Caenorhabditis elegans: one gene and its partners. The protein of the gene in region 1 purifies or fractionates together with the protein of each later gene. This does not show direct contact. Each region holds a gene or a part of one and is shown in the gene's direction. Other genes may lie near its edges.

What was found.
Region 2: the proteins of cyn-6 (region 1) and cex-1 fractionate together in Caenorhabditis elegans (co-fractionation; one large-scale study listed by BioGRID). This does not show direct contact.
Region 3: the proteins of cyn-6 (region 1) and nspg-12 fractionate together in Caenorhabditis elegans (co-fractionation; one large-scale study listed by BioGRID). This does not show direct contact.
Region 4: the proteins of cyn-6 (region 1) and rpn-1 fractionate together in Caenorhabditis elegans (co-fractionation; one large-scale study listed by BioGRID). This does not show direct contact.

Annotation. Positions count from the first base shown.
Region 1 is NC_003281.10:768,835-776,159, forward strand, and holds cyn-6 (Peptidyl-prolyl cis-trans isomerase 6), read left to right. Parts: upstream 1-4,579; coding exon 4,580-4,777; intron 4,778-4,823; coding exon 4,824-5,231; 3' UTR 5,232-5,325; downstream 5,326-7,325. Other genes in the region: ptl-1 (Microtubule-associated protein), read left to right, coding at 1-24, 73-385, 454-540, 1,056-1,233, 1,428-1,676, 2,151-2,333; tpst-2 (Putative protein-tyrosine sulfotransferase), read left to right, coding at 2,743-2,780, 2,972-3,098, 3,145-3,339, 3,395-3,603, 3,659-3,869; alh-11 (Aldehyde dehydrogenase domain-containing protein), read right to left, coding at 5,559-5,689, 5,740-5,816, 5,866-6,103, 6,152-6,817, 7,128-7,325. UniProt on the Caenorhabditis elegans protein: PPIases accelerate the folding of proteins. It catalyzes the cis-trans isomerization of proline imidic peptide bonds in oligopeptides.
Region 2 is NC_003280.10:5,445,901-5,453,221, forward strand, and holds cex-1 (Calexcitin-1), read left to right. Parts: upstream 1-1,780; 5' UTR 1,781-1,782; coding exon 1,783-1,897; intron 1,898-1,940; coding exon 1,941-1,993; intron 1,994-2,046; coding exon 2,047-2,367; intron 2,368-2,414; coding exon 2,415-2,540; 3' UTR 2,541-2,734; downstream 2,735-7,321. Other genes in the region: nmr-1 (LITAF domain-containing protein), read right to left, coding at 1-50, 99-300, 360-442, 573-704.
Region 3 is NC_003284.9:5,251,380-5,258,897, forward strand, and holds nspg-12 (DUF19 domain-containing protein), read left to right. Parts: upstream 1-5,919; 5' UTR 5,920-5,929; coding exon 5,930-5,963; intron 5,964-6,013; coding exon 6,014-6,130; intron 6,131-6,177; coding exon 6,178-6,265; intron 6,266-6,320; coding exon 6,321-6,410; intron 6,411-6,458; coding exon 6,459-6,523; intron 6,524-6,571; coding exon 6,572-6,689; intron 6,690-6,744; coding exon 6,745-6,884; intron 6,885-6,926; coding exon 6,927-6,934; 3' UTR 6,935-7,005; downstream 7,006-7,518. Other genes in the region: Y34B4A.10 (aECM cysteine-cradle domain-containing protein), read left to right, coding at 259-653, 717-837, 973-1,131, 1,183-1,251; nspg-14 (DUF19 domain-containing protein), read left to right, coding at 1,744-1,786, 2,421-2,519, 2,569-2,689, 2,945-3,007, 3,058-3,149, 3,201-3,318, 3,378-3,520, 3,572-3,588; nspg-13 (DUF19 domain-containing protein), read left to right, coding at 3,815-3,866, 3,928-4,052, 4,280-4,332, 4,382-4,536, 4,972-5,089, 5,138-5,283, 5,340-5,368.
Region 4 is NC_003282.8:6,901,833-6,911,762, reverse strand, and holds rpn-1 (26S proteasome non-ATPase regulatory subunit 2), read left to right. Parts: upstream 1-1,849; 5' UTR 1,850-1,858; coding exon 1,859-1,957; intron 1,958-2,018; coding exon 2,019-2,743; intron 2,744-2,790; coding exon 2,791-3,730; intron 3,731-3,805; coding exon 3,806-4,645; intron 4,646-4,691; coding exon 4,692-4,802; intron 4,803-4,847; coding exon 4,848-4,989; intron 4,990-5,038; coding exon 5,039-5,127; 3' UTR 5,128-5,343; downstream 5,344-9,930. Other genes in the region: ribo-1 (Dolichyl-diphosphooligosaccharide--protein glycosyltransferase subunit 1), read right to left, coding at 1-852, 916-1,080; T22D1.17 (Col_cuticle_N domain-containing protein), read right to left, coding at 5,384-5,503, 5,593-5,766; T22D1.5 (EF-hand domain-containing protein), read right to left, coding at 6,364-6,521, 6,574-7,073, 7,122-7,237, 7,287-7,491, 7,538-7,683, 7,735-7,785; T22D1.8 (SRCR domain-containing protein), read left to right, coding at 8,139-8,234, 8,280-8,391, 8,438-8,612, 8,658-8,850, 8,898-8,965.

The DNA of each region.
Region 1 (7,325 bases):
AGAAGGAAGAAGAAGTTGTAGTCGGTAGGTTTCAAATGTAATCTTCAGCATTCTTAATCTCTAGATTTTCAGAATCTCCTCCTCGAGAACAAGAACCTGAAAAATCTGGAAAATCCAAGCCTTCGAGTCCGATCCCCGACGCCCCAACAATGGAAGATATCGCTCCGAGAGAGCTCGAGTCTCTAAACTTTTCCGAAACGTCTGGTACCTCCGATCAACAAGCCGACAGAATTATGCAGAACAATGAAAACGAGAGAGTCGAGGAGAAGAAACAAATGAGCCCAACTCCATCACAACCCCAACATAAGACCCCACAAAGATCTGGGATTCGGCCACCAACGGCGATTCTGCGACAGCCAAAACCGATACCAGCATCTTTGCCAAGGTAATTTTTTCATTTGTTGCTCACCTAGTGACCACTCATCACAAATTCTGAGCATTTCCTTGTTTTAGGCCAGCAACTGCTACTCCCTCGTCTCAACGCGCTATTAGTACACCAAGACAAACTGCTTCAACAGCGCCATCTCCGAGACCCATATCGTGAGTGTTTATTTTTTCATAACAATTTCTCGAGTTATTTGAAGATTAAAGATGGGTTTGGTTCTGTCCGTCTTATTGTATCCAAAATACGTTTTTTTTTTTCATTTCTCTGCGCTTATATGTATTAGACGTATCTTTGCCTATTTTTTTCATTCGTGGTAGTAAATAACTAGATCTAAGTTTGCTAATGGACGTATCTATACTCATTTCCTGAAACTATCCCATAGTGAAAATACATCACCTAAACTTGGTGCGGAATATTTGTTGTCTGGGTATTGCAAAACATAATTGCTTCCTCTATTGTTGTGCACCCAACTGCTCCTATTTCTTTTATGGCACCTGCGATCTCAATTTTTCAAACTTTCTCACATTTCCACGTAGAATTTGAGTTATTACATATAGTTGTTACTTATATATAGAATGTTATCATTACTGATTGACCATAAATTGAAAATTTTGCTTGGCTTGAATAATCCCTATTATAGCCAATTAGTAAAAAAGTAACAAATCTTCAGAAAAATGTCTCGAGAACGGTCGGATGTTCAAAAATCCACGTCTACGCGAAGCATCGATAATGTTGGAAGAATGACGCCAAAGGTTAACGCCAAATTTGTAAATGTGAAGAGCAAAGTGGGAAGTGTCACCAATCATAAGGCGGGCGGCGGAAATGTGGAAATTTTCTCGGAGAAAAGAGTGAGTGAACATTAAAAAATTTTTCTGCGATTTGAGCCAATCAGATGACGTTTATGAAGGTCGCTGTTTAGCTCAAAAAAGAGCTGAACAAATCGGTCTTGTAGATCTCATTTTTGGAGAACACCAAATAAGGATGTTCGCCAGAAGTTGCATTATCAAAACCTAGATATTTTTTACACATTCAGTTATTTCAGCTCTACAACGCCCAATCCAAAGTTGGCTCCTTGAAAAACGCAACACACGTTGCCGGAGGCGGAAACGTTCAAATCGAAAACAGGAAGCTAGATTTTTCGGCAGCTTCACCAAAGGTTGGCTCGAAAACCAATTATCAGCCAGCAAAGTCTGACGTGAAGATAGTTTCGGAGAAGTTGACTTGGCAAGCTAAATCAAAAGTTGGGTCAATGGACAACGCAGCGCATAAGCCTGCTGGTGGAAATGTTCAGGTATTTTGAAGATTAAGAATTTGAAACACGAGTGAACTTGAATTTGACGTGGTGGCTTTTCATATTGCAGCTATTGATTTTCAGATATTAAGTCAAAAATTGAACTGGAAAGCCGAGAGTAAGGTTGGGTCAAAGGACAATATGAATCATCGGCCTGGTGGTGGAAATGTTCAAGTTCGTAATAAACTAGGCTACACACACAATATCACGCTTTTCTTCAGATTTTCGACGAAAAAATCCGCTACGTGTCGACGGACTCGAGCCGGAATCATTCTACGCTGGACATCAGCTCGTTATGATCGGACCACGCTTTCACTTGAATTTTACCACACCTCACTGATCTTCAGAGGTTTTGTATTTTTTCAGCAAACTGATGACCTCTTTTTGTAATAAATTTGATTATTTGAATAATTCATCTTCTCAGCACAGTTTATCATCCATCACTGGATCACAATTTGCCCCACGAAATTTCAGGTAATTTCCAGCGAAGTGGCAGTAAGTCGACCAAAAATGATGACGGCCACAATAATTGATAAGAAGAAGGATTTTGCAAAACGACAAAGTGTCTCACAGAGATCTTCAAGCAATTCTCTACTGCCCAACAAATTTCCAGGCGCCATTTATCCTCTTTCTCCTGATTTTATATTCAATCGCTGATGTATACCGCGCTTAATAATATGCTTTCAAATATTTGTGCAACTATTGAATTAATTTTTGAATATATTAACTGTTCCCAGCCGTAGTTTCTATTTGACTTCCCTGAGCATGTTGAATCGAAGAATTTTATCCCAAGGTTTCAGCTTTTTTATCTATATTTTCATTTTTTGCTTTACAATCTGTCTTTTGATATTCTCTTCAATAAAGTGGTAATTAAAAGTGTATCGTGGGTTCTACTTGAAAATGGTAATTTTTCAGTAAGAAACTTCAGGAAAAGTTAGAACAGCTAAGTCTTTCAAAAGAGAGCTTAATCTTCAATGAGCAAGATGCTCGACACTCGAGACGACTCCTCTCAAATTTGGAGCAGCTGATTTTTGTGGGTGGTGTGCCGAGAAGTGGGACTACTTTGATGAGAGCTATTCTAGATGCACATCCGGATGTTCGATGGTAAATTTAGAAAATTTCAAAAATGCGATGTATGCTGCGCTTGGCCAAAAGATCTTGAATTTCTTCTCCTTTAAAACTTTTAAACTCCGTCGAAACAAGGCTTTCTGAAGTCAAGACTTTTTCTTGACAATATGATACTTCTTATTCAGAAAAAACAAAACGTATTACTTCTGCTCACTTCAAACTTTCAGTGGCGGTGAAACCATGCTGCTTCCAAGTTTCCTTACATGGCAAGCAGGCTGGCGGAATGATTGGGTCAATAATTCAGGAATTACTCAGGAAGTATTTGACGACGCTGTTTCAGCATTCATCACTGAGGTAGTGCTCTTGTCACCGTGTTCATCTTTAATTGCAATTCATACAGATAGTCGCGAAGCACAGTGAACTAGCACCTCGTCTGTGCAACAAGGATCCATACACCGCATTGTGGCTTCCGACTATTCGCCGACTGTACCCGAATGCAAAGTTTATTCTGATGATTCGAGATGCTCGTGCCGTAGTTCATTCAATGATAGAAAGAAAAGTACCAGTTGCTGGGTATAATACGTCTGATGAAATTGTAAGGTCTCCCTAATGAAACTCTTGAATTTCTAAAGATAATTTGAAACATTTAGTCAATGTTTGTTCAGTGGAATCAGGAGCTTCGAAAAATGACTTTTCAATGCAATAATGCGCCAGGGCAATGCATAAAAGTATATTATGAACGACTGATTCAAAAACCTGCGGAAGAAATCCTACGTATCACCAACTTCCTGGATCTGCCATTTTCCCAGCAAATGCTAAGACATCAAGATTTAATTGGAGACGAAGTTGATTTAAACGAGTATGTGCTTTCTTCATTAAAACTTTTGAACTTCAACTATCTCTTAATTTTGCAGTCAAGAATTCTCTGCATCACAAGTTAAAAACTCGATAAACACTAAAGCCTTAACCTCGTGGTTTGATTGTTTTAGTGAAGAAACTCTACGAAAACTTGATGACGTGGCACCTTTTTTGGGAATTCTTGGATACGATACGTCGATTTCAAAACCCGATTATTCCACATTTGCGGATGACGATTTTTACCAATTTAAAAATTTTTATTCTTAAAGTTTTGCACTGTAACCTATAACTTTTATAGAAAATAAGATGTCCAAAGTTACCTACATCATAGATTGTTATTATTTTATTTTTATCTATAGATACAACTGTTAACCTACATCATTATCATTATCTCCCATTGTTTTCAGATAGAGGTCAAGGTAACTTTCTAATTCTCCACACTCTCTGCAACACTATAAAAAAGAATGCGCGCACGCACAAATGTCCACTATTCCGCCGGACACGGCTGCTTCCTGCAGCTGTATCGATTTTTCTTTTGTCGTTTTTTTCTTTTCGAACAGGATTTTTGAATGCATTCTTCTATATTTTTTGAAAAATAAAACTTGCAATTAATATACTTACAATTAAATACATGCTGTTGGATTTCTAGAAAATTGCTTACATTGTTAGTTAAATTAAATACTATGCATTATATTTATAAATAAAATATTTATTTATTATAACTTAGTACTTAGTACTTAAGTACTTAAAGTACAAAGTAGGGGAAAAAAGATCAGGAACTAGAAATCTTATGATTAAATTTTGATAGGCTAAATTATTAGAATTTTGTTTAACTTCAAACGATTAATTTTGAAACTAAATTCTTACTTTGAGGTTTTTTTAAAAATCATATTTTATGTCAAATCCGACTTTTACCATATACTACTCTAATTATATTACTATGAAAATGAGCATCCAAAATCTCAACAAGTTTCCAGATGAGCCGTGCTCTTCTTTTCTTCGTTCTCGCCATTCTGGCTTTGTCAGCCGAGGCACGTGGACCACGTGTCACTGACAAGGTCTTCTTTGACATGGAGATCGGAGGAAGACCTGTTGGGAAAATCGTCATCGGACTTTTCGGAGAGGTCGTGCCGAAGACAGTGAAGAATTTCGTTGAGTTGGCACAGAGAGCTGAGGTATTTCAGTTTGTTAATTAAATTCTGTAGACTTTAATATTTTCAGGGAGAAGGATACGTTGGTAGCAAGTTCCACCGTGTCATCGAAAACTTCATGATTCAAGGTGGAGACTTCACACGTGGCGACGGAACCGGTGGACGATCGATCTACGGCGAGCGCTTTGAAGATGAGAACTTCAAGCTTCAACACTACGGACCAGGATGGTTGTCAATGGCCAACGCTGGAGAAGATACCAATGGATCTCAATTTTTCATCACTACCGCCAAAACCTCATGGCTCGATGGAAAGCATGTGGTGTTCGGTAAGATCCTGGAAGGAATGGACGTAGTTCGTGAGATCGAGGCTACACCAAAAGGAGCTGGAGATCGGCCAATTGAGGATGTTGTCATCGCCAACGCTGGACATATTCCAGTAGAGAACCCATTCACTGTCGCCAGAGCAGGAGTTAATTAAACCTAATGATCTACGGGTTTTCCAATTAATATGTGTATTTTTGTTGAATGTACTATAATTACTTTCTAAAATTCTAATAAACGTGTTTTGTTTCAGTACTTGATTATACAGCGCTGTCAGGATGTGCTACGTTTTGGAACTTGTAATAGTATTAATAATTGAGCAACCTGACTTGCCAATGTTCGAAATACCAAAAACACTATATCATAACTTTGTGGAGTATTGGTTTCAATTCTGAAGTTGAAATACACTTCTAAAAGCAATAATTTATTCTCGATCCGTTCGTCTAACTAGTAAAGTATAAAGATTTGTACATTTGAAGACTCATTAGAATGGGTTGGGGCACGTTCCGGTATTGACAAAGACCGACTTCAGGTGAGTATAATGTTCGAGTACTGCTGTTCCGTTTTCACGTCCGAATCCTGATTCTCCGACTCCTCCGAATGGAACCAGTGGCGCTGAAATTACAGGTTCTTTTCTAGATCTAGTGGGATTCGGAGCAACTTACAAACATCATTATAGGTATTGACATAGACGTTTCCAGCATTCAACTGCTCAGATACTCGATAGGATCTTGAGAGGTCTCTGGAATAATGAGATTTTCATTGAACATGCTTTAATAGGGTACTCTTACTTCGTGACTAGACCCGCAGCTAATCCCATATCGGTGTCATTTGCAATTTTAATAGCTTCATCTTCGGTATCAAATGGAATGATTAGAAGTACGGATCCAAAGATTTCCTCCCGATATACTGTCATTTTGGGTGTAATGCCTGTTAAAATACATGGAGACAAGTAGAATCCATTCTCGAGGCCATGAACGGCCACACGATCTCCACCACAAAGCTTGGTGGCTCCTTCGGCAATGGCAGCTAAATAATGGTGTACTATTGAGAATCTACTTAAATTTCTAAACTTACTACTTATATACCCTTCGACTTTGTTACGATGCTCTGCAGAAATATGGGATCCAACTTGAGTATCCTCTTTCAAAGGGTCACCAATTTTCATCTTCTGCGTGTGATCTACCAACTTCTTCGTAAACTCCTTCAGCACACTTTTATGAACCAAAACTTTTGAAGCATTAGAACAAACTTGTCCCTGACTGTAGAAGTTAGCCATCATTGCACAAGACACCGCCGAGTCGATATCGGCGTCGTCGAACACGATCAATGCGGATTTTCCACCAAGTTCCAGGGTTACTGGCTTGATATTTCGATCGGCGCAGGCTTTCATGATTTTCTTTCCAGTTGGGATGCTTCCAGTGAATGATACTTTTGATACCCCATCATGATGAATGAGATCTTGTGCAGTTTCAGCGTCACCTTGAATAACATTGAACACTCCATCCGGTAGTCCAGCACTTTTCAAAATTTCAGCCAATATCAGTGCAGTTACGGGTGACAGCGGGCTGGGCTTATATATGACAGCATTTCCACAGGCCAGTGCTGGTGCAGTTTTCCAGGAGCATGTTTGAATTGGATAGTTCCAGGCACCGATGGCGGCGACCACTCCAACAGGAAGACGGCGTGTATAGGCGTAACGAGAAGCATCGAGTGGAACGTGTTGACCGAGAAGGTCAGATGCTAGATTTTGGAGATCAGGATTTGTATGTCATTTGTTGCTGATAATTATGCCAAAACGGGAGATGAGCGGGAATTTGAATTGGGTTACGTCACATATATCTTACTGTAGGCAGCCATTTAGAAAGCGCATATCTAATCAGGGTATTCGAAAATGAATTTTCTATAATTTTTTGATATCAAAATGCTATAGAACACCTACAAAACAACTCAAAAAATCAAAAATTAGAGAACGCTTATTGTTTTTTGAAAATCTCTTATCATGACTGCAGTTGTCGTCATTTTCTAGAACCAAACATTATTATGCACTTACCAATTCCGGAATAAAAATAGAAAGTGTCAACACAAGAAAGCACGTCAGCTTTTGCTTCTGCAATTGGTTTTCCATTACTAATACACTCCCAGTAGGCAATATCGTTGCAATGAGTTTTCAGAAGATCTCCAGTCTTTTTCAGAATTTCGCTTCGTTCCATCCATGAAGATTTTGCCCATTGTTTTTGTGCTTTTTTGG
Region 2 (7,321 bases), on another chromosome or scaffold:
GCTTCATCTGAAAGTGGAGCCGTTGGACGAACAAATGTGGGATAGATATTCTAAATTGAACTTTTAAAACAAAATTAGTCAATTTATTTAACGATCACCTTTTTACTAAACTCTGCATCTCTAACCATTACTCCAACAACTGGAAGTTTGTAAAATGAAAGTGTATATGCTGATGATGTAACCAAATCAATAAATCTTGAAGATGATGTCAGTAATGGAGAAAATATAACAGAAGCCAATGAGTGATTGAGCATCTGGCTGCACACAATATCCTGAGTCAATTCCAGACGATTATCTCCACTGAATATAAGAAATGTCTTTCTCGGGGGAAAAGCTCAACAAATAATAATTTCGAAAACCTTTTTGCATCTACAAAAGCTGCGGAAATAGTGTCATTCCCCAAGTGATATGATGTGCTTCCAAAAACTTCCACGAATGCCGCCTGAAAGAAATTAAGAAGAAAAGTTGAAAATATGATATTTTGTGAATATGAATATGCTAATTTAAAAGTTTGGAGCTTCTTCTATAATGCCGAGTTTGTAAGTTTTTAAAGTAAAAATTTCAAAACTTACCGTAACGGAAACTTTCAATTCTTTGAAAGTTTCTTGATTCGGCTCAGAAACAATTAAAACTGATACTTTATAGTCTATTGTGTATCCCAATTGTAAAAATATCCAAATAAATATAACTGATATTCGGAACATATCTGTAACAAAACTAAAGTTTGTCGTGTTCCAAACAGAAGCAAGATAATTGAAATTTTGGAACTTTAAACGGGTTTTTAAATGGAAAGTAAAACGAGGTAGTAGAAGGATGGAAATAAGAGAAAAGTGGCAGTGCTCTTCTCTTTTCAACAAAAAAACGTATTCTACTTTCACCTCTTCTCCTTCCGAATAAGAGAAAAGAAGACGAAGAAAGATGATTTGGTGGGCACATTTGAGCAAAAGGAAAACGGGCGAAATTGAGTAAAGGAAATGGGTTGAAAAATGGGTGGAGCAGTGAGAAAGAGCACTGGATACTAGTTGATTAAATTATTTCAAAATTCAAATTGTTCTTGAACGGTTATCAGCGGATATTACAAAATCCGTTCCAAAAAATTTTTAGAACTCTATCGAAGAAATTGAAATTTTAAACGTTTTTTTGGAAATTCTGAAAATATGTCAACTTTTTGTTGCTTCTGTAATAAAAAATTACCACTAAGACCTTCAAACCAAACTGTGTCACGAATATTTAGATCTTTCTACTTTCAGATCACGACGTTTGAACGATATGCTCAAAATACAAAACATTAAAATTCAAGTTTTGGGCATTTTTCTTTTTCAAACTTTTTCAAAAGATAAATTATTTTATTAGTTCAGAAGGGTATATACGAGAAGTATACCACTTGATTTTTTATTTCAAAAGCGACACTGGAGCTCCTACCCCGTTCTGACATATGTCTATTCAGAATTTCTTGGGTTCATCATAACATCATAAGCATTCATCTAAAAATACCTCCTCAAAATCCTATTATTTTTTCGATTTCCTTGTTTCCTATGAATCACATAAGTATTCCGTGTAATATCTCGTGCTGTGTGCGGGCGTCGCCGCAAGGAGGAGCTATGATCATCACAAAAGAGCACTTCAATTCGTACACAGAGGGGCGGAGTCAGACATTCTAAAGTGAGATAAAAGCATCTTCACAACCCATGGAATGTTCATTTCTAGATATTTTTTCTTGATTTCTAGACTTTCTCAAGTTCATAATTTTATAATTTTCAGTCAAATCTTATACTTTCAGAAATGGTTGTTGCAAAGCCTACAGCAGCAGTTTCCATTGAAGATCTTATCAAGAAACATTCCGATGTTGATCCGTTCCTTGTCAAGAAGTGGGAACGCATTTTCTCACTATTTTTTGGTTAGTTTTCCCACTCTTTTTTACTTTCAATTATATGTTTCAGATAGAAATGCTTCTCATCAAGTCGATTGGGGAGATTTTTACTTGGTTGTCAAGGTGAGAATTATTTTTAGAATTCTAAATTCTATTATTTTCTTTTAACCTTCCAGAAAGTCCGTGACATTTACGGAGCTGAATCAGTTCAAACTGGCTTTGCCAAGAAATCTCTTGCTGCTCTCTGGGAAGGACTGTGCTCCATTGCTGATGCTGATAAGGATCAATTGATCTCGATTGATGAATGGATCGGACTTTTGAAGAAGACCGATGCGAAGACTGAACCAAAATGGTTCAAGGACTATCAGAACTTTATGTTCAAACTTTTTGATGTTTCCTGTGATGGAGTCATGGATCTTGCCGAGTATACCGATGGAATGAGTACATATGGATTTGATCAATCCGAGTGTGATGCAGCTTTCCATAAGTTTTCAGTGGTGGGATTTAAATATTTTTTTGATTAATTTAAAAGGAATTATTTCAGGACAAGAAAGGTCAATACGTTCCACAAATGAAGCCAGAGACCTGGAACACATACTTCCATCAGTTGTTCTACTCAACAAATAAATCTGACGTTGGAAATCATCTCTTCGGAATTATTGACTTTTAAATTTTCCTTGCTCTATACCATGTACATTGTTCATCCCCCACACCCTTAAAATATTCTGAAAACCCTTCACTTTCCACTACTTTTCTAATGCTTTACAACATATAGTATTATTTTTGAACATACAACCTTTAATTTGTCTCTGACACCAGATGTGCTTGAGCATAAAAATTCAGATAAAATCATGACAAACAAGTAATTTTGATGAATGATCCTCCAGATGTTTGGGTAAAATAAAAAGTTTCCGAGAAACTTTAAATTTTTATAGTGGCTCGGGAAAACTCGGGATTGTTTGTTGGTTGGATTGTTAGAAGGGAAAGAGCATAACATACAATGGTTTAATTCTTTTTGCTGACTTTTCAGTAAAGACTTGGCAGTAAAAACTGGAAGCTTACGAAAAGCCGCTGAATGAAGCCATTGTATTTTGCTCTTAGAAGCAGTAACTATATTTTTGCGGTTTCAAAACATATTTGAGATTCAATAAATTGAGAAATTATAGAGCACAAGTGTCGCAAAAAATAGAGGCGCTCGTCATTTGGCTCCAGTTTCTCGCCCTAGTTTGGCCCAGAAATTATTAACGCGAATCAGAAGTTGGCCAAACTTGGGCAAAAGCTGAACTCTGGGATAACGTGCCAAAAAATATTTTTTGAGCCGCGCCTGAGCAAGAAACCGGAGCCAAATGCCAAGCGAGTCAAGATATCTGTTTAATTCAAAAATAATTTATCGAAAGCCTTACTCGTAATGACTGTAAAATTCCTCCTATTCAAAAAGTTGGCTCAATTCCAAGGGTACTTCTTGTTTACAAACAACTACGTGTGTTTTCAGGTATCAAATAACCTAAAAACATTTCTTCTATATCTAAAATAGCTTACCTCCCACCCCAACTGACCCATTTTCTCTCTGTCTCCCACCTGATCTAAACTTATAACAGACAACACATGTGCGTCCATTATTTTTGTGACACTGCGTGGGAAAGAGTGGACCACCAGCTGACAATCCCGGCGATCAGTGATCAAGGGATCCAGAGATTGGGAGAAGATAATAAAATGAATTTAATGGATAATGGAATGGCTTTATCGTGTTTACGAGAAAAAAAAAGAACAGAGGGGAATTTCAGAATGCGATAGTTTAGGAAATTTGAAATTGGAACTTACTTTAGAATCACCGCTTTTCTTCTAGAATCGTGCATCCTTGGGGAGCCTTTTAATCTCAGAAATACTTTTTAAAAAACCAATTTTTACAGTTATAGGCTACGGTAAACACACATACAAACTACATTTTACAGCAATTACCCCTGATCATTGAATCTTTTTTGACGCCCTTTGTAGTCTAAATTATCATTAAAAAGAAGGTCATATCTTCCTGATGACCACTTGGACAATTTGTCGAATTGGGTGGCAGCGATGTCACTTTCTTGCAGAAATGAGATGAACAAAACATGGGGAATCTGTGACTGTGACCGGTGGGAATTTCTGATTTGTTGTTTTGTTTTCTATGTGAAGTTGTTGATAATTGTGTAAAGTATGGGGAGAACAACTGATTGCTGGAGAAAGCATAGGGGAGTAAATTACTTTAAAACAACTATTCCTTTTTTGAAAAAAAAAAGAAAACAAGCAAAAATTCCCAAGTTTACAATTGGGCGGAGGCTTTGTAAAAATGTGATCCTTGGTGAATTTTCTATGGTAGTTCATTTACTTCTGCTTCAGATTTTTTAATCTGAAAGAAAACGTTCGAAAAAATCGCAAAGGAATATTCGCTGAGGATTTAAATTTTTAAAAGCCCCCATTATATTTTCTAAATTTGTGCAAATTGGTTATTGAGCAACTAAAAATTGTTCAAATAGGTTTTTCTGAATATAAATGATTTTTCTATAAATTTAACAGTGTACGAATATTTGTAAAAAGAAAATATACATATTTTATGTAGCCTTGCTTATATTCATAATCTGTTCAAAATATATGTAATTAACAAAATTTAAATTTTGCGTTTTTCAAAGTTCAAAAATATGCCTTGTGTTCAAAAAGTTTTACCAAAATCGCACGTTCTATATCTCAATTTTTCAAATCTTACCACCCACTTGCCCTTTTGATCATTTTGAATCACCGTCTGTAGAAGATAATATCCAACTGAAAACTTTACCATATAATCACCACATTTTCTCGGCGGGATGTCAAATTCTTTTGAAAGTAGTATAACCTTGTACTATGTGTATTGCTGTTTTACCTCTACCGCCATTTAAAGGGGAAAATAAACAAATGTTTCCTTCTCCTTTTCTAAATTGTTTCGACAATTCCTGTTTCATTTGGTAAATGTTTACTAAATCTAAGAAACGGATCATTTGCATATTTTACTTTTTGAATCTCTCTACATCAACTAGTTTCTCTTTTCTAAATGACTATTCGACTATTTATGATTGGTTTCCGTTTGAATAAGCTCTCAAGAAGTATATAACAATTATTTTCCAAACTTTTTAACCACATTTTGTCTTTTTTTTTAGAAATTAAAAAAGTTTTCATCCGCGTCTCTGTTCTACATTAACTGAATAATCAGCACAAAAATTTACTGAATAATCTCAAAATCAACCTTGGGCGCAATTTTCGATTCATAAAAGTACAAGCTTCCATCCAGATACCACTTGAAACATAATAAGAAAGAGATTCACATTGAATTCTCACTTTCCATGCAATTATTTCAACTAATCGGCATCCACAAAAAGAAGAAAAAGAACACTAATAATTAACCATGTAATCGTCACCTGCCTGACACCTCATTCTAATTTCAATTCGTCAAGCAGTTCGATGTTCTTTTTTCCTGCTGACCTCCTCTCTCTCTCAGTGTCCACTTATTTTTATTATACAGTCATCACATCCCCGCAAAATGTGTCCAAATGTCTACTTGTCTACCTGAACAATTTGTTGTTACTTTTGCTTAGTTTTGTTGTGATTATTGTGATTCTTGAAGATTGGTCATTGGAATCTCTTCTTTTATTGAAATGATATCATGAATGGTCAAGGTTGCAAATCAGTCCTTTTATGTTCTAGCTAGCCGATTTTACGGCTACTTCCAAATTCCAAATTGAGAGATATTCAAGAATATGGTTTCAATTTCTCAATTCAATTTTTATAGCGTCTCCAACATTAAATTCTGAGTTTGGTTCCATAATCATCAAACTATACGTCTCCTGTCTTTTGTCGCTGACCTACATCCATCAGCTGGTATCACTTGTTCCCTTTTATTTGTACTATTCCTTTACAATATTTGGTTTTCTTTTGTCGTTCAAAGTGAGACCACAACCATTTAAAAAACATGTCTCTCAATTTATGCATCTCAATTCTGAACAGATGAAAGTGTCTTCGCTTTTTTTATTCTCATTTCCTCTAATGCGAAATGTTCTTCATTTTTTAAAGATGCACAACTTAAATTGATTGAAGAATTAAAATGTTCAACTGAAAATATTGATCTTCGACAGTTTTCAATGAATTTATTTCTGAATAATTGTTGTAGGCAACACGGGACATAATTACAGAAAATGCCTATATCGTAAATATTTCAGAAAAAAATTTCAGAAAAACTGTAAAATTGCTAAATTTGGGATTTGCAATTTTATAGTTTTTCAGAAATTTCTAAAGATTTTCGCATATCAGAGTTTGGTGCAATAATGTTCTTAAAACTTTTACTTATTGAAAAACCAGTTTAATACAAAAAACGGACCATAGAAAACATCGTTAAATGCATAAGAGTATACCTGTAACTTTTTGGAATGGTAAAGATAATAATGAGTAACATAAATTTTTACAAATGTCGTCTAATAAATCTAAAACTTTTTGTTGCCGTAAATGTTTCAGTCTTCGTTGACTAGTAGATCAAGGTTTTTTTTACCCAGTTGGACTTTCTCTTGTTATATTCCGCACTTTTAAAAACTGGGCATCAATACAGGAAATGATGATGATAGTGTAACCGTTGATCTATTATCATTTGCTTGCCTCCTGACTGAAATTTCTTATTATTTCATTTTAATATGGGCGGCGGTCCTGGAACCATCATAGCATTTTCTATATATTTTTCATTTCAAAGATTAAAGGTTCCTTATATGTATTTTCCGGCGTTCTCTATGATCCCCCGATTTTCCGTTTTGAACTGGTTTTTTTCAAACTTTGCATGGCTTCAATTTCATTCTATAGCCACGCACAATTTGACCTCTTTCTCACTTCTGTTGCTATATTCTAAAAGTTACGATTTGTTGCCATGTTTGACATTGTAAGTTTTTTTTTCTCGATATGTTGAGAGATGAATTTGAAGCAATGTAGGTAAATATGAGTGAATAAGTTGAGGTTTAAATGAATCTAATTTTGAAGTTATGCAGTATTTCAAACAGCTTTACCAGAAATTAAATTATGTCAAGATTTGGAAAATTATTCAAATGACCACGTTTAGAAATTCCAGCTAATCGACGTAGTTTGTGAGGTCTTATAAGATACTTTTCCTTTACTTTTTTGGCTGAAAAAAATTCATACGGTTTCAGTTTTTCGCACATTACTTTTCCGTTTAACTCTGTTGCACTTTTGCCGTATTATTCTTTATGCAAATTTTACACTTAAGGATTTACGGTATTTAGTTTTTGGCGACAATTTTTATTGCCAACTTCTGTAAGTTAAAGAAATATTTCGAATTGTTTTTGAGAAACTAACTAATTTCTTAGACTACTATTAGCACACTATCTAAATGCATGATCTGCCATACTGGGACCATAACACTCCCCTCTCCCACCCCACTTTATGTGGACT
Region 3 (7,518 bases), on another chromosome or scaffold:
TTAACTTCTTATAATTTCTTGAAAATTGGCCTACAAAAGTAGACTAAATTGAAGTTAAAGCTTGCCGACAAGGTATACTACTACATAGTCGCATGAAAATTATTTTTGATGATTTATTTCCAAGCATTGCAAATTGGTATTGTAGATCCCCTCGACCTTTCTTGAAGGTCTAAACTAACACCGTTCGAAATAAATGTTGTCAATTACAACAGAATTTATTTTTTATGCGAACTTAAAATTGAATTTGATATTTTCCAGCGAAAGCATCGAAAGCTGAAAAAAGTCACAAAAGTCACCGAGGCTCCAGCAGAAGTCACAGTACCCACGGAAATTGTTACTGAGCCAACAACTGAATCCGCAACAACTCCCACTACTACCACAACAATTTCCACCACCCCATTAGTCACAACTACACCACCAACAGCTCAATCTGCAATTGTAATTAAAACATTGCCGACTACAGTTGCTCCAAGCAAAGTGGGCGAGTCTTATCTCGGTGGATGGAATGAAGACGAAGCTGTAGTGGTCACAACATCAAAACCGTCTCTTGGATATGCAATCAGCCAATTCACACAGCTGCCTGAATCAATTGCTATCGACGACGACAAGTCAATTAAAGCGTACTATGAAAAATATTACGCTGAGTGGTATCAGTAAGTGTTTTTATAAAAAGATTTCAAAATGTTTAAGCAAACTATTTCCTTATTGCATTACAGAAAACACAATCAAGCTGCCGGCACCCCAGAGGCATCAGCCGCAACAGTTCCTCGAGAAATAAAAATAGAACTGGCTAAGCCAAACACAGCTTCTTTTGGATCAGCGACATTGCAACCCACTGTGAGTCATTTGCCTCGTCTTACCCAAATCATCTCTCTTTTTTTCTGTTTGAACACGACATCACTGTCAAACATGGGTTATCATCAATGCTATCGTTTTAGAAGCTATTAAAATCGAAGCCACATATTTTTATAGGGAATTTCTTCACCGTCCGCTGCAGCCGTAGAGCCGACAAAAGAACAACTGGACAAAGTTTGCGAATACGTGGGCAAAATATCCAAATCATTTGGAATCAAAGACCTTGTCGGATTCGCCAAGAACAATTGCCCTCTGGTGCAGAGCTTCCATCCAGCGGTATATCTCTCGAATTTATAGTCTTTTTGCATTCAAGTATTCTATTTTCAGTCCACCTGCGAGCAAATCCAGCATCTGATGAGTTACTGTGAAACAGGAATACTTGTAACCAACCAATGATCTCATACATCTTCCCAAACTGTGTATTTCTACTTTTGATGCCATGTTTTGATCTTTTTATTGCTAAATGTCACCAACTTCCCTGACAAATGTATTCTCTACCTTGTCCACAAATAATGAGATTCCATGACTTTTTTTCTAATAAATCTGGAACTGTAACAAGTAATTACCAGCCACGCCTTGTTTCCTGGCGTCATTTTAGGACTGAAAAGAGTTTTCGTCATTTTCAGAGCCGCTCCCTTTTTCATTTTCCATCAAAACTGAAAAAAAAGTGATAATGCAATTTGAAAAAGGGTATGACTATCATAATAAACGAAACGATAAACGTGCACATACACGCGTTAAGGAGAAAAAGAGGTGGGGAAGAGAAGGGGATGGTTGGCAAACCCATAAAGCGAGCCGGCCCTCGAAAGGTGGAGATTCAGACAGAAGTGCCAGCGGCAAAGTGATAACGGGAGACACGACTTTGCACTACGCCTGCTTCCCCGCGAAATGTGCTCTACCAATTATTGCCTGGCTGTTTTTGTACTAGTTGGTAAGATTCTTGACAGATTCTCTGTATCATGGAGCGCTTTTAATCGAAATTCTAGTAAAAACTAGGCACTATTTATTTGATTACCGATTTTTCAAAAATTCATAGTTCAAATGTCAATTGCTCACAACGATTTATCTAGGCACTCTCTTTTTCAAAATTTCGTTCAATTCCTGATTCTCGCATTCTCATTGCCTTTACCCCATCATTTACAAGTATTCAAAACTAAACAAGACCGTTCCACAGTTATTAGATTGGCAGAATTAAGTCTTGCACTAACCGGATTGCTTTTGCTTACTTATCATCAGTTTTGATAACGAAAAATTCCACGTGTTGCCCGGTAACGCCTAAATACTATTATGACTAAGTAACTTTTGCAAGATCGGGAACGTTCCCAAAATGAAATCTGCACAAGTATTAGACTACTGTAATTTCCTAAATCTAATGTGATTGTTGGTATTAGTTGCGTCACAACTAGCGGCGGGCATTTTCTTATCAAAAAGAAAATGTACGGTGGCACTGGATACGACTTTTAGAAACCAAACATTCCAGGCTCGATTATTTTTCAACCTATTAGAAGTTCTGGGAAAAAACTGAGAGACATGACCTTAAAAAATAAACCAATGAAAAGTTTCAGGCGTTGTGGCGGCACAAAACCCAAGTTTAACGGCATGCGATATCAATAACCAGCTAAATGTTTGTCAGAGTCAGTTCAATCAACTTTTGGGATTTGATGGTAATGAAACTGAAAAATAGAATTAAGCACAAAAGTTTTGGTGTTTCAGCTTCTCTCGGTGCTGCCAAATATCAAGACTTGAGAAGTGCCATTGAGCAGTCGTATGCCAATAACCAAGCATACGGGCTTCTTACAACTTGCGATGCCTTCAAGCAGTACAAGCAGTGCTAGTAAGTGACATAGTTTGCAATGTTGTGAGATTCACAATGTGCGACGGGAATATCTCAGTCGGTAGTGTGGTGATCGCAAGCAATCATGAGACCACTAGTTCAAGTCCTGCCTTTCCCTAGGATCACCCAACCTAGCTTGGGAATTAGAGGAATCCACTAATGGCTCGTGGCTTGAAACTAAAGCCTAGTGGGAGTTTAAAAACGGAACACCCTTTGATCCTTTAATTTTTACATCTCAAATCAACTGATTTATAGCCAACCAAAAGAACAGTTCTACGCATGTGCTCAGAACCCATACGGTCTTCTAACTGGAACCAAGTAAGTTCTCAATTCAATATATACTGTAACAGTTTTTGTCTGTTCTTCAGCAACAACGGCGCCCCACTCACACAGGATCAGGCTAATGGATACGTAAAAATCTGGAACCAACTTGATTTTGTCTGTGGTGCTGGATTCTCGAGTAAGATTAGCAATTATACTGTAATACTGAATACTAGAATTGAATTTTCAGTCTTTGCCAACTCTGAAGTTTGCGGCTCTTCTGTCTTTAACAACCAGACAGCTGCAATGAGACAGTGCGACAATGACTTCAACGTGAAGTCCATGGCTGACCCAGCTCAAGCTTGCGCGTAAGTTTTCAAGTTTTGTTTCCAATCAAAAAGAATAATGAATAATCTTAACTTTCTAGATACGTTGAGATCGCAGCCAACTGCTACTTCCAACTGTTCTGGAACGCTTGTAAGAAGCCAGAGATGGCCTACTGGGGTTGCAACTACGAGCGTACCGGTACCAATCTTCTCTTCCCACAGTGCTCTCAGATTTTCTGCACATGTAGGTTTTCAGAATGGGATGGGGTTTAAATAATGTTTATTTTATTTTCAGTCCACGAACGCGTCTGATCGTCTTTTGTTTAATCATCTCCATTTTTTGTTTTGGTCAAAATGTTTTATTTGAATTCACATTTTTGGGAATAAATCTATGTAATTTAATTCATAATTTTTTAATTTCAAAAATTTGTTTTCGTTTGAAATGCTTCAATGCATTGAATACTTCTGACTTTGTGTGTGTGTGTGTTTTTTTTTGCAAAATTAAAAATACATATTTGTGCTCACATTATGCTTTCAGATGTGGCAAGACCGGTGTTTGCCATTTCTTGCGTTGATTCTTGGATTGTCAGGTAAGTAAATTGAAATTAAAACTTGTGAAATATTTGTTTTAATCTTATTTTTTTATTCCAGGAGTCCAATCAGCCGGTCTAAACTGTGACTCGACGGTTTATTTTGAGTGCCAAACTGCTCTCAATGCGGTTTTGAGCATCAGCGACCCACAGCCATGGTTTGACCCCGAAAACTTCCGCAAGGAGGCAAGTTTTTAATACAATAGTTTCCACGCTTGCCATTCCATGAAATGATAACTGAATAAGGTGATATGACGAAGGGTGTGCATAGTGAAATGTGAAATGTGAGGTTTAGAACGTGTCGATGATAACTTTTAAGTCAATGGGATTAATTATGTCATCATGATTGTATTATAATCTGATTTTTTGATTATCAGAAAAAAGAGCAAAACACAATTATTGATTAAATTTAGGTGGAGACAAACTACCAGGCTCAAGGACCCAGTGGAATGCGTAAAGTTTGCAAGTCAGTACTTCACTAGATACTCTCTCTCGAATCCTGAATATAATTCCAGAGCTTTCCGCGAGTTTAAAGTTTGCATGGGCTCTGAATACGCGAACTGCATGTCTGCGGTCCATTTTGTTTCTGTATCGGCCACTCCATTCAACGCTTATCAATTTGTTGGACTGTTCAACCAAATGCACTTTGTCTGTGGAGCTGGATTGCAAAGTATGAATTTTTATTGTCATTTCCCGACGCGATGTCGGAATTGAATTTTGTTGAGTACACAATTACACATCTTTTTGGCATGGTATGAAGTTTCTAGAATAGGTGGAAAACACGGGGAGTGTCGAAATCAAACTTTCTGGGGCTTGCTGCTGTGGTAATTTATACACATTATGAGACTCTTAGAGGAATTTCTGAGTTATGATTAGAATAGGCATGAATACTAGCACATATTAGGTTTAAAAAAAACATTCAAGAGACGCAGGAAAATATGATATACATGGGAAATAGGTCCATCGCTGACCACAACCGAAGTCGGCTGCGCATTTACTATAAATTCCTAATTTGCTCAGAGATCAGAAATCGATTAACACAAAAATAGCGCCTTATACAGACTAATGGATTCCAACCGTAACGAGGTAACTTTCTTCATTTCAGCATACCTCCTTAATGAGGGCTGTATGTCAACTACTTGGAGAAGCCAAAGTGATGTCCTGAGACAATGCCGACTAGATTATGAGGTGAACAGTGACGTTGACGCAAATCAGGCTTGCACGTAAGAAGACCATCGGGTATTATTAAAAAACGCCAACCAAACTTACAGACAAGCCAATAAGTACTTGATTTGCTTCGAAACTCAGTTCAAAAACAACTGTGGTGAAAAATCAAACGATGCCATGTTCTGGGCTTGTGAATACTCAAGAGTCAATGTTTTTACTCGATTCCCTCAATGTGCAGCTAGATGTGTTTGTAAGTGAAACTTGAAAATTGTGAAATCTAGTAAAATTGATTTTGTTTTTTTGCAGTGCCATATAGCGGAGGAATCATCGGATGAGTCGAATAAAACGAAATGATGTCAGATACAAACAAATTATTAACTTTTTGTCATTCAATCTTAACTATGTATTATCATTTGTGATAAGAATAAATTTTTATTACTGAGAAAATGCCATCGGTATAGTATATGACAATCTATTGGTGTGGCGATGGGGAACTTCATGAAAAGTTTTGAAAAAAGGGTTTTGAAATAAATATTGCCAATAGCTTTTTTGGGACGTTTTCAACATTTGGTATATTAAACATTTTGGTAGGACAACAGATTATAAGCAAATTATTATTGAAAAAAAACTATTTTTTGACTGTGTATCTTTTATAAATTGTTTTACTTATTATGCAATATTTGAAATAAAAAATTAGTTTTTTTTTCATTCGTTTTAAAATTTCACCGTCAAATTCAAATACAAGGTTCCGAAAATACTTTTTCCGCTTAGCCCATTTAATGCAATAATCAATGTCTTTTAAGCGTACAGGATTATTGATAATCACTTCAACTGATAAGGACTGCAATTCTTAATCCCATAAATGAAACATTTCCCTAGCTTTTCCGTTCCACGACATGCTGTTGAATGTATTGATTGCGGTGTTGGCAAGTAAGTTCAAAATGTACCCCCAGATTGATTGACCTTTTAAGCATGTTCAGTAGCACCAACAGCTTTTTGTGCATGCGCTCCTTCAACTACAGGTACATGCACTCCAGATTTACTTCAGTGTTGCGGGCTACAGCTCAAATCTGATCTAGGCTTGTCAAACTGTTATGGTAAAGCTTTTATAACAATTTAATTGAATGAGCTATCAATTTTTGAGGAATTCTTGCTTTCGAGCCTGAATGTCACCGTCAAGAAATTGAAAACATGTACATCAACGGTATAAGTGGTTTGTTCAAAGTTTGCGAGTTCGTTTTTTCATACTTACATTGTCTTTTGCCCATCGAAAAAAATTGATTTCAGCGCTTTTAACAAGTACTATGAATGTCTTGGACCAGCACGACGTGACTGCACCAGCATTAGTTATCACGTGAAAGCAGGTCTTCGACTTGGGTAAGTTGGCACAATTCATTATTTCTGTTAATCTTACCAAGTTTTCAGAGATGCCGTGCAAGTGGTGTCAATGTACAAACAATTCGGATTTGCGTGCGGAGCTGGATTTGAAGGTAGGTTTTCAATAATTTTTGAGCAACAAAAAATTTTAAATGTTTAAGGATTCTCCAACAACGATGTTTGTATGTCGAACATTTTTTCCACAAAACAAACTCAGATCAGCGATTGCCGTGCCACATTTGCCAAGAATTTGTTGGCAGATTATAAGAACCACTGCATGTAATGAAATATGATCAAAAATTTACAACATAATTAATTTTTAAAAAATCTGCAGGTACTTCGAGCAATATACCGGATGTTTCAATGCATTGTTCGATCACAGTTCCTGTAACTCTGAGAGCTCTTGGTGGGGATGTGAATATGCACGACAAGCTGGTCGAGCTGTTCTGCACGATTGCAGTCTTCAATGCTCAAGTAAGTCCAAAACAGATTAATGAGCAATTTTTATTTTTTCAGCATTCTGAACGCCGGGAAGAAATGCAAATGTTTTATCAATTTTGTGGTATTTCGATTTTGAAATAAAATATTTCGTATGTTTCAACAAAAAAGCTAAATCTAAAAGAGATACCATCAAGTTGAAATAATTTCCCATCCAAAAAAAATTAATAAAACTTTTATTACAAAACAGTACAATACGAAATGTTATTGAATTTCGTAGAACCAGATCAAATTACATATTGCGCCACGTTGTTCTAACATTATTCGTAAAAAAATAGTGTGAAAATGTAAAAACTCATTTAATTTATCCGATAATTACAATCATTTTAGCTGAAAGTGCTTCAAAAATGGTTGGAAATTGCCAAATGATGAATCGAATTTTCCAGCTTTATATTTCCACAATTGATATCTTTCAGGCAATTTTTTTAGCACGTTTATTAATGTTTCAGCTAACGTCGATGTTATTTTCAAGTAAATCAAACAACATTCTGTAGTTCGGCACTAATTTTTTTAATGAAAAATGTGGGAAAAAATAATGCAACTTTTTTTGTAGAATTGCCGAAAATAAATGCCACCCACCCCTGATCATATATGCATTGGCAGGCTAAAA
Region 4 (9,930 bases), on another chromosome or scaffold:
GAACAACTTTGTTTTGAGAGCATACTGATTTCCTTTGCTGTACAAATACTCTTCCGATGGCAAATTGTATCCGATGACATACGACGTCTTCCATCCTCCAAAGAGTGGGAATCGTGGACGAATCTCAACGTCAACGCTGTCAGCACGGATTCGTACAGCGGATGTAGAAATGTTTCCGATCTCATCACGATAATAGATATCTTTAGCTTGAGCAGGAAGAACTGTGGTAAACTGTTGGAGTGCTGGTTGGCGACGTCCACGACGGTCCATTTGGTAATCGATTCTTGAGAATGGACCATCAAGCTCAGCTCCCTTGTGAACCAATTCAATGTACTCCTCCACAGCGATGTTTCCCCAGTGAGAAACCTCGATGAATCTTTCCACGATGGTGGCAATAACGAATGGCGAGTTATTTTCATAATGAACTTTGACTGGTTTCGTCTCAAAAGCTGGGATATTAACATATGGTCCGTAGATGACACGTTCCGTTTCTTGTTTCGATGGAGAAACTGTGGTTGCGGATAGAAGCTTGCCTCCTTGAGTGGTTCTAATAGTTGTTTTTTGGGTCACAGTTTCGTACAGGGAAGGAACGTATGCAGATGTGTGAAGAACAACAAATTGACTGTCAGATTGCTGAATCTTGGATGGGAGTGGCTCAAGTACTTGTGTGATACGAAGATTGATTCTTATGGTAACTTTGGCTCCCTTGGCAACAGGAGTTCGGAGGTCTACTTCGTAAACTGCAAGATCCTTTTCGGCTGGTTTTTCAGAAATTTTCAATTTTCCTTTGCTTCCATCGATTCCAGCAGAAATGAAAGAAAGAGTAGCAGATTCTTCTTTAGACAAAGCAATCTGAAAAATAAAGTTGAAATATAGGAAATATAGTGAATTTTCAGGAAAAATATATCTACATACCAAAACTTTCGATTGAGGTCCATTTCCAACGTTCTCAAATGAATACAATGTCGAAACCTTGACAATTTGTGACGTGGCATCGATGGTTCGGTCAACATTAGCGGCTTTCCAAGCGTCTTCAGCGAAAACCGCCCCCAGGAGAGCGATGGCAAATAGCAATCGCATCTGGAAAAATTAGATATACAATCAAAAATGCAGAAAACCCAAAAATGTCATATTAAAACGTTTCAAGAATGAAATTCGACTGATCGAGCAAGACGACATCTATTTGGAATTTAATTAATCAGCTCGTGTTAAAAAATTATCTATTATTACAATCTCAGCACAGAGTAACTTTATTTTGTCACAAAATCATTTAGCAGCAAAAATTCGCATGTACAGACTAGAAAAATGATATTTTTGTTTGGTGAAATCAGCAAAATTCATTATAAGAGCAAATTTCAAGTGTATTATATTGATTTGATGCATAAATTCTGCGAAAATCTATCTTTAAATTACAATAATTTCAGCAAAAAAAAGAGAAAGACGTGGTAAACTCGTCCACGTATTTTGAATCGGAGCCATTCGTGGCGAGACCCACCAGCCGGCATGATGACTGCGCCTTTAAACAAAGTCTGTTCAAATTATCATTTTTTCCGCGAACCGGCGCGGATTTTCAGATTTTCTAATCCAATTGTCATCGTTTTGTTGTTTTTTTATTCTTTTATTCGGATTAGATGTATTTCACTCTTAGTTTCTATTCCTTTTTTCCAAACTCTGACTCTCAAAATAGTTATTTTTCGATGTTTTCATAAAGTTGAAAAATATTCACGTTTTCGAGGGAATTAGTATTTGAATACGCTGTTATAGTTTCTTCGTGACTTAACTGTTTTGTTAATTCTATAAAATTCATTTCGAAATCTCAGCTTCTCTTTCGAATACATATATTTTGAAGGATCGAAAAATGGTGGCGACTACTCAACAGACACCAAAAGAGGCGGACAAAAAGAAAGCCGACGATAAAAAAGTTCCCGAGAAAGCTGAGCCAAAAAAAGAAGAGATGGTTAGTTTAAAGAATAACTATTGTTTAAGCCGTAATGAGACTTATAGCTTATTTATTTCAGAGCGAAGAGGATCAAAAACTCGAGGAGGATCTCAATCTTCTTGTTCAGCGTTTATCTGAACCGGACACAACACTTTACAAGCCATCACTGGAGACTATGCGGACATTGATTCGTGCTTCAACCACATCGATGACCTCTGTTCCAAAACCTCTCAAGTTTATGCGTCCGCATTACAATAAAATGAAGGAGATTTTCACATCGATCGTGGCGCCTGACGTTAAGAAACTTTGCGCAGATATCATTTCAGTGCTCGCAATGACATCAGATGAGCGAACCGACACGATCAACTATCGTATTCTTGGATCACACGAGCCGATCGGGGATTGGGGACATGAATACGTTCGTCATTTGGCGATGGAAATGTCAGAGGAGTGGAAGAAGGAAGGCACTTCGGATGCGAGAAAAGCTGAACTCCTTAAGTTGACTCAGGATATTGTCAGCCATCACATGAAACACAACGCAGAAGTTGAAGCGTGCGATTTGCTCATCGAAATTGAGCGTATTGATTTGCTGATCTCTTATGTCCAAGAAGTTGATCACCAACGTGTGTGCCTTTATCTTCTTTCATGTGCCCCATTGACTCCAGACCCGGATAACATTATTCTTATTCGCACTGCTCTCCAACTCTATTTGAAATTCAACCGGTATCTTGAAGCTGTTAGATGTGCTATCATGGTCAACGATATTCCACAGGTTCATCAAATATTTGCGAAGGCATCTGACCCGTAAGTTAAATATAACGTCTCTTACTTTCCTAAAGAAAAGTTTTCAGATTGCTTCGAAAGCAAATGGCTATCTTGCTCGGTCGCCATCAGATTTTCCTTGACTACGAGGGATCTGCAGATTCGGATGCTCTTGCCGAACTGAATTCCAATGCTCATCTCTATGAATACTTCCACTCCTTGGCTCGTGAGCTCGACATTATGGAGCCTAAAACTCCAGAAGGAATTTACAAATCTCATTTGGAACATTCCCGGCCATTCGGAAACTCTGCTCAGCCAGACTCTACTCGCATGAATCTCGCCGCTGCGTTGGTGAATGGATTCGTGAACTGTGGATTCGGAGTTGATAAAATGATGGCTGAAACAGAGGAAGCCTCCAGATGGTTCTACAAGAACAAGGAATATGGAATGCTTACTGCAGCCGCCTCACAGGGTCTTATCTGGAGATGGGATATCGATACCGGCCTGGCACAATGCGACAGATTCTTGTATATCAATGACGATTATATCAAGGCTGGAACCCTTTTGGCTATTGGTATTATTTCCTCTGGAATTCAAGATGCTTGTGACCCTGCTTCCGCACTTCTCCTTGATCATGTTCAATCTGATCGGTCAATTATGAGAGTAGGATCAATTCTTGGACTTGGACTTGCCTACGCTAATTCCAAAAGAGAAACCGTTACAAAGAATGAGGAACGCGGTGTTATTTTCGAGCTCAAGAAAGTTCTTTCTGATCAAAAGCCATCGGCTATTCCTGAAGTTAAAGGACTTGCTGGACTTTCTCTTGGCCTCATTCTTGTTGGAACTGCTGATGCGGAAGCTGCGATGGAGATGCTTCAAGCTCTAATGGATAAAAGCGAAACTGAGCTCACAGATCCAAATATGCGTTTCCTTGCATTGGGAATTGCATTGATCTTCTTGCAAACTCAGGACAAGAGTGATGTGTTTGTCGAAAGTCTCCGTTCACTTCCTGATCCATTTGGAGCGATGGTAAGTATTATTTGTTCTAGATCACCTCGAGTTTTGGCTATTCCCTTGTTCATATCATAATGAATACAATTTCAGGTTTCTACGCTCGTTGAAGTTTGTGCATACGCAGGAACTGGAAATGTTTTGAAAATCCAGAAATTGCTCCATCTCTGCTCTGAACACTACGAGACGCCAGCAGCTGAGAAGAAAACTGCCGCTTCTCGTGGACCGCGTGGACCAGCCCCAGCTGCTGCTACACCTGCTCGTCCTGCTGCGCAACCTGGAAATGTCAACGTCGCTGGCACTCCAGCCCCAACTGGAACACCCGCCGTTGCCCCAGCTGCTCCGAGACGCGACCTTCCAGGAGCCGCAAGTGCTGCTACACCAGGAGCTCCAGAGACTGCTGCCGCCGACGCTACTCCAGCACCACCTGCCAAGCCAGACTTGTCATCGCAACAGGCGGTTGCTGTACTCGGAATTGGTCTGATTGCTATGGGAGATGACATCGGATCTCAGATGGCTCTTCGCATGTTCGGACATCTCATCAGATATGGAGAACCAGTTATCCGTCGTGCTGTTCCCTTGGCGTTGTCACTTCTCTCCGTCTCAAATCCTCAATTGAACATTTTGGAAACTCTGTCCAAGTTCTCTCACGATTCTGACGCTGATACCGCTCACAATGCTATTTTCGCGATGGGACTTGTTGGAGCAGGAACAAACAATGCTCGTCTTGTTGCTATGCTCCGAAACCTGGCTTCTTATCACTACAAGGATCAAGTTTCTCTAATGCTGGTCAGAATTGCACAAGGACTTACTCATCTCGGAAAAGGAACAATGACGTTGAACCCATGGCATTCTGATAGGCAATTATTGTCTCCAAGTGCTTTGGCTTCTCTCCTTTCAATTTGCTTCTCTTTCCTCGACGCCAATAACACGGTTAGTGCAAGATTGATATTTCTACCATAATTTATTTCAAATTTAGATTCTCAACAACCGTCAGCATTACTTGCTCTACACGTTGGTGCTCGCAATGCAACCAAGAATGCTTACCACACTGGTAGAAGACGAAATGAAGCCTGGAAGCTTGAAACAGGTATAATTTTTTTAAAAGTTTCAACTCTCCAATGTGATTTTACAGTTGAACGTTTCTGTTCGTGTTGGTCAAGCCGTTGACGTTGTTGCTCAAGCCGGAAAGCCAAAGACAATCACTGGATTCCAAACTCATACTACGCCAGTCTTGCTTGCCCATGGTGAACGTGCCGAGTTGGCGAACGATGAATGTATGCCATCCTAACATTTGATAATTAATTTTTAACTAAAATATTTCAGATCTCTCTGTGACTCCACATCTTGAAGGATTGGTTATTTTGAAGAAGAATCCAGATTATCAGCCGGTTGTTGTATCAACTAAGAAGTAACCAACAAATTTATGGATCTAATTTATTTTTCTCCCCCTTTTCTCCCATCTAAATTATCCGTTTTGACCCGTTTTATTGTGCACAATCCGATTGCATTCGCTCTCTGCCCGATTTCCCGTTTTTCTGTCAATTTTCCCTCTCCCTCATCATTTTTTCTTTGAAAAAAACGTGTACACTTTAAATTTGAGTGGGACGGTATTCGAGTAAATTATTACTTTCAATCTTATCATCCTGGGTTTTATATATGTATTAATATTTATTGATCACAGGAATTTGAAGATCTTCTAGGTATCCTTATCAAAGTATCGAATATATCAGAAAATCCGTCAAGGTGGCGATTGTTCGACATTAGATTTTCAGCATCGTTCGCATACATCTGGAAATAAAATTTAGAATGTTCAAATGTGAGTTTGGAAATTTTAGTTTTTCAGTTTTTAGAAAAGTTTAATGAATTATTACACTCACCTCAAAAGTAGCCTTTTTATCCATAAAAACATCTTTCATTTCATCAATTTCATTAATAATATCACTTGTCAAATATATAACAACAAGTGTCATAATTGCCATAAAACATAAAATTCCAATAGCAGCAAAATCAGCGATGAAACGAAATTTGTATAAAAATTCGGATGTATTCATAGTTTCGAAAAAACTATAAAGTTTCAAAATTTGATGTATTAAATGGAAAAGTAATAGAAAGAAGAAGCAAATGACCAATACAATTAGACAAAGAATTGAAAACTACAGAAAACAGGTGATAAAAGATAAGAAAAAGTGAAGAGATTTAGAGATATTTGTAGAGACTAACCAGTTTGACGAACTATAGAAGTGAATTGTGTAAACTTTTAGACTTTTTGTGATTCAAAAAAAAACAGTTTGAACATTTGAAATCACAGTATTATTTAAAGGTGCAGTGTTTAGCAAAAAATTATCGTAACGAGACCCGGTCACCATATTTCCGGCACAAAAATCTAACAAATAATGTTATAAGCCCATTTCATAGTTTTTAACATTTCCCACCAATCTAATCGTTTTGAAAACCCATTAATTTTTTTCAAAAATATTCTTGCAGGTTCAGTAAAACGAGATGAGCAGGAACAATCTTATTGTTTACATGAATCCGCCTGACATTTTACAAGAATACTGAAATTTGTGAAAATTGCACATAAGATATGGGACCAGGCGATTAAATACAATAGGGAATGATTATCTGACATGATTAAACTTTAGGATTACTTAAACAGGATTTATTGGTTCGTTATTGATGTTGAACGACCCTGATGATGACGTGCTGGATTGAGCATAGTAATCGTCAAATTTGTGGTCGATCAAACGTTGCCAACGAGTCCGAACCATCCCAAATTCCTCATCATCTTGGCGTTCGGTGTTCGTTTCTGAAAGCAGTGTTATTAACATAAACAACCATTTTATCTTATTAAAACATACTCTCACAAATTTCCTGCTCAAGAAAGCGAAGAGCGCAGACAAAGCCATTGATCACTCTGAAGGCAAGTTGCGAGTTCTTTTTGAATGATTGCAGATTCCATTTGTCTGTGCCAAGGATGTCCCGAAATTGAGCGATAGCGTTTTCGAACGGCAGGGATTGCACATTGTTATTGACAAGAAACTTTGTGATGGCATCGTAGAACATCCGCAGGTCGTCCAATTGAAGGATTCCTGTAGATTGCACATCAAGGACGCGGAACCAATACTCGATCGATTGATTCTCGTCAGTCCCAATCATCGCAAATATGAGCCACGTCACTTCTTTCGTATCGAGATAGTTTCCCGTTGAACGACGCACTAGGTTACTCGAGAAGATTCGGTCGACGATTATTGTTGGAATACCGGTTTCGTAGCAGTAAATGGCGATGGCATTCGAATCAAATATCTCATCCCATTTGCCAATATGATTGAGCTCGACTGCGCAGAGTTGTCCGGTGTGCCTACAATTTTAATAATTAAATGACTAATCTGAGATTATAGCCGATTACTTCATGTACCAATCCTCGCATGCATAACGCACGTAGTCATTTAGAAGATCTTTAGTCTTAACTTGAATCGTTCCCGTCCACGTTCGCCCAGCAGTCCAGAGTATACGCTCAGTGACCTGAAATGTTATCGATACACAAAATTAAATTAGAAAAATAGAAAATTACAATGATCGAATACATTTCAGCTTCCTCCTTTGAACAGTCCGTTTCAGTCAGTTTCCGCTCGAAAATAGCTGACTGCAATTCTTCGCGTGTGATCACTTCTGAATACGACCGCACTCTTTCGAAAATTGATGAGTTAACAAACTCCAAAGCAGTGTGCATTGAGCACGAAGATGTACTGCTTTCATTTTCGAGTTTCGTCGCTTCTCTGTAACAAAAAATCATGTTTAAATAAATCTGATGATTCAACAAACATGTGCGAATCATCGACTCCAGTGATTGCTTGAGACGTCAGATTTCCGCTGGAGTCATCCGAGCAAGAGGACCACGACTGATCGCGAATCGGAGCTCTCATTCTCGTGAGTTTTGGTGATGACGTGGCAAGCGGGGAAAACAGATGCTGAAAATTTCCAAGAATGAAAAGTATATTCTCCTGAGCTGATAAACATACCGTCGGGAACTTCACATCAATAACAGACTTCATCTGAATCTGCTGGCTCATTTTCACGTGGGATGAGCGTATTTGAACACTGAAAAGCAAATGCTTAAAATGTTATAATTGATTTGAGACAAAAATTCTGGATAAAAAAGTGAAAAAGATGTAATAAAACGCAGAAAAGAACTAAAATGGACTTTCGTAAACAATTTGTCACTAAAAATAAAATTTTCGAGGCTAGCTGTAGATCGTTCCGCGCGAGACCTTCACGAGTGGCGACATGTGTCTTTGAAAACTACAAAAATCAAAAAAATAGGCCTAGAAAATACTAAAAACACGTGAAGCATTTGATAAAATATTTATTTACACCATTTTATAGAGACGTAAACACATTTCAATTCATTTCCTAACAAATAACAATGAATAAACAAACAGTTATACAAAAATATTGGTGGAATCTGATTATCGGGACAATATTTATGTTTATGATCCAAGCAAGTTCTCAAGAATTGAAGGTGAGCATTTTTCAATTTTAGCATCGAAAAAGTAGTAATTTTCAGCTCGTAGGAGATTCAGAACTAGCTATATTCCCTGAAGATGCTCAAAAAGTTTGCGAAAGTCTCAATGGAAATCTTGCAGTGTTGACGGATGAAAATAGGGAATTTTTTGAGGGTAAAACAGTTTTTAAAAATATTTCTCAATCTAGACTTTATTTTAGAGCAACTATTCAGAAACTGTACACCTCATTCAGATTTTTGTCCTAAAATGTGTGTTTTTGAAAATTCATCAGATAATCAATTAGAAGAACTCAAAATACCAAATGGTGTGATTATGACACAACCAGTTCATCTCGGAGACACATTGCACTTGAAACTGAAAATGGAAAATAAAACGTAGGAATTACATTCAAAAAATGGAAATATGTTAATAGCTTTCAGAATGGAAGTCTTCCAACTATCTAATGCAATTATCGAAGATATGGAAAAAGGATCAGAGCAACAAGTTTTTTTAGAATTATCAATTTACAATAGATACGTTGATAAAAGTAAAGCTATAAACCATACAAAAGCTCATAAAGTTAATGTTGGATATGGTGAACTTACAATAACAGAAAAATGGGAACGATCTAAAGTAAGTAGTGTGCAGTATGATTGTTTTAATTGGTCGATATTTTTTAGCATCTAGTAAAGCCGCACAGGCTTGACATAGATCAATCAGGAGATCCCACAATAGACTTGAAATTAGAGTAAGTTCGAAAATATTACTTTTCCATGTAACGTTACCAACCGTAACTTATCGTACTTCCGTCTTTTTTATCTGGTAGATTTGATATTTGGTTTTTCTATAAGATAGAGTAACACCAGTTGGGCTTTTGTATAAATACTCTCATGAAAGTATAGCTAAATGATATCTCACTAATATTTTTTTTTGAGAAACTTATTCTTAACATTGCGCCAATATATTAAAAAATTCAACTTTGTGAAAATATAACTCTTGAAATATTAAAATTCAAACAATTAAAATGTAATGCAAAAATGTGAAAACTTCGAAATTCTTACTTTTTAAACTGTAAATATGAAACGAATCAAAGGGTTTTAAAAGTTTTACTATGATTTTTGCCCATTATAGCAGCATTGTAGTGATTATAAAATCTCCTACTGAGTGTACTTTAATGCTAGGACACTATAGGGTACGGTAGTTTTCCCTTTGACATTCACCGAGTTTGTATATTTTAGGCCAATATTTTCTTAAGTTTTTAATTAGTTTCTAAAGGTTTCCAGCATCCTTCTCAACGTTTTCAAAAAAAAAACTAGCAATAAAATGTGAATATTCAATGTTCTCCACCAGGTGGAGAACATTGAATATTCACATTTTATTGTAGGGGTGGCAAGAGTGCGACCTAGGTCGCTAGGTCGCTGTTTTCATTTAGGTCGCATTGCGACCTGCGACCTAGCGACCTGCGACCTAGCGACCTGGGTCGCATTGCGACCTGAAGTACTGACATTTTGTGCACTTTCGGTTTTGATTCACTTGAGTTGTTAAAATCTGTATAACTCGAAAACTACATAAGATTGCAGAATATGTATACTAACAAATTGCTACAAATCATTTATTTTACATTGTTTTCGATTTCTTATCCATAACACACCTTGTCGAAAAAAGTTAGAACAGCCGACATCCGCCGGATTTGTTGCCGACTAAAATTGTTTC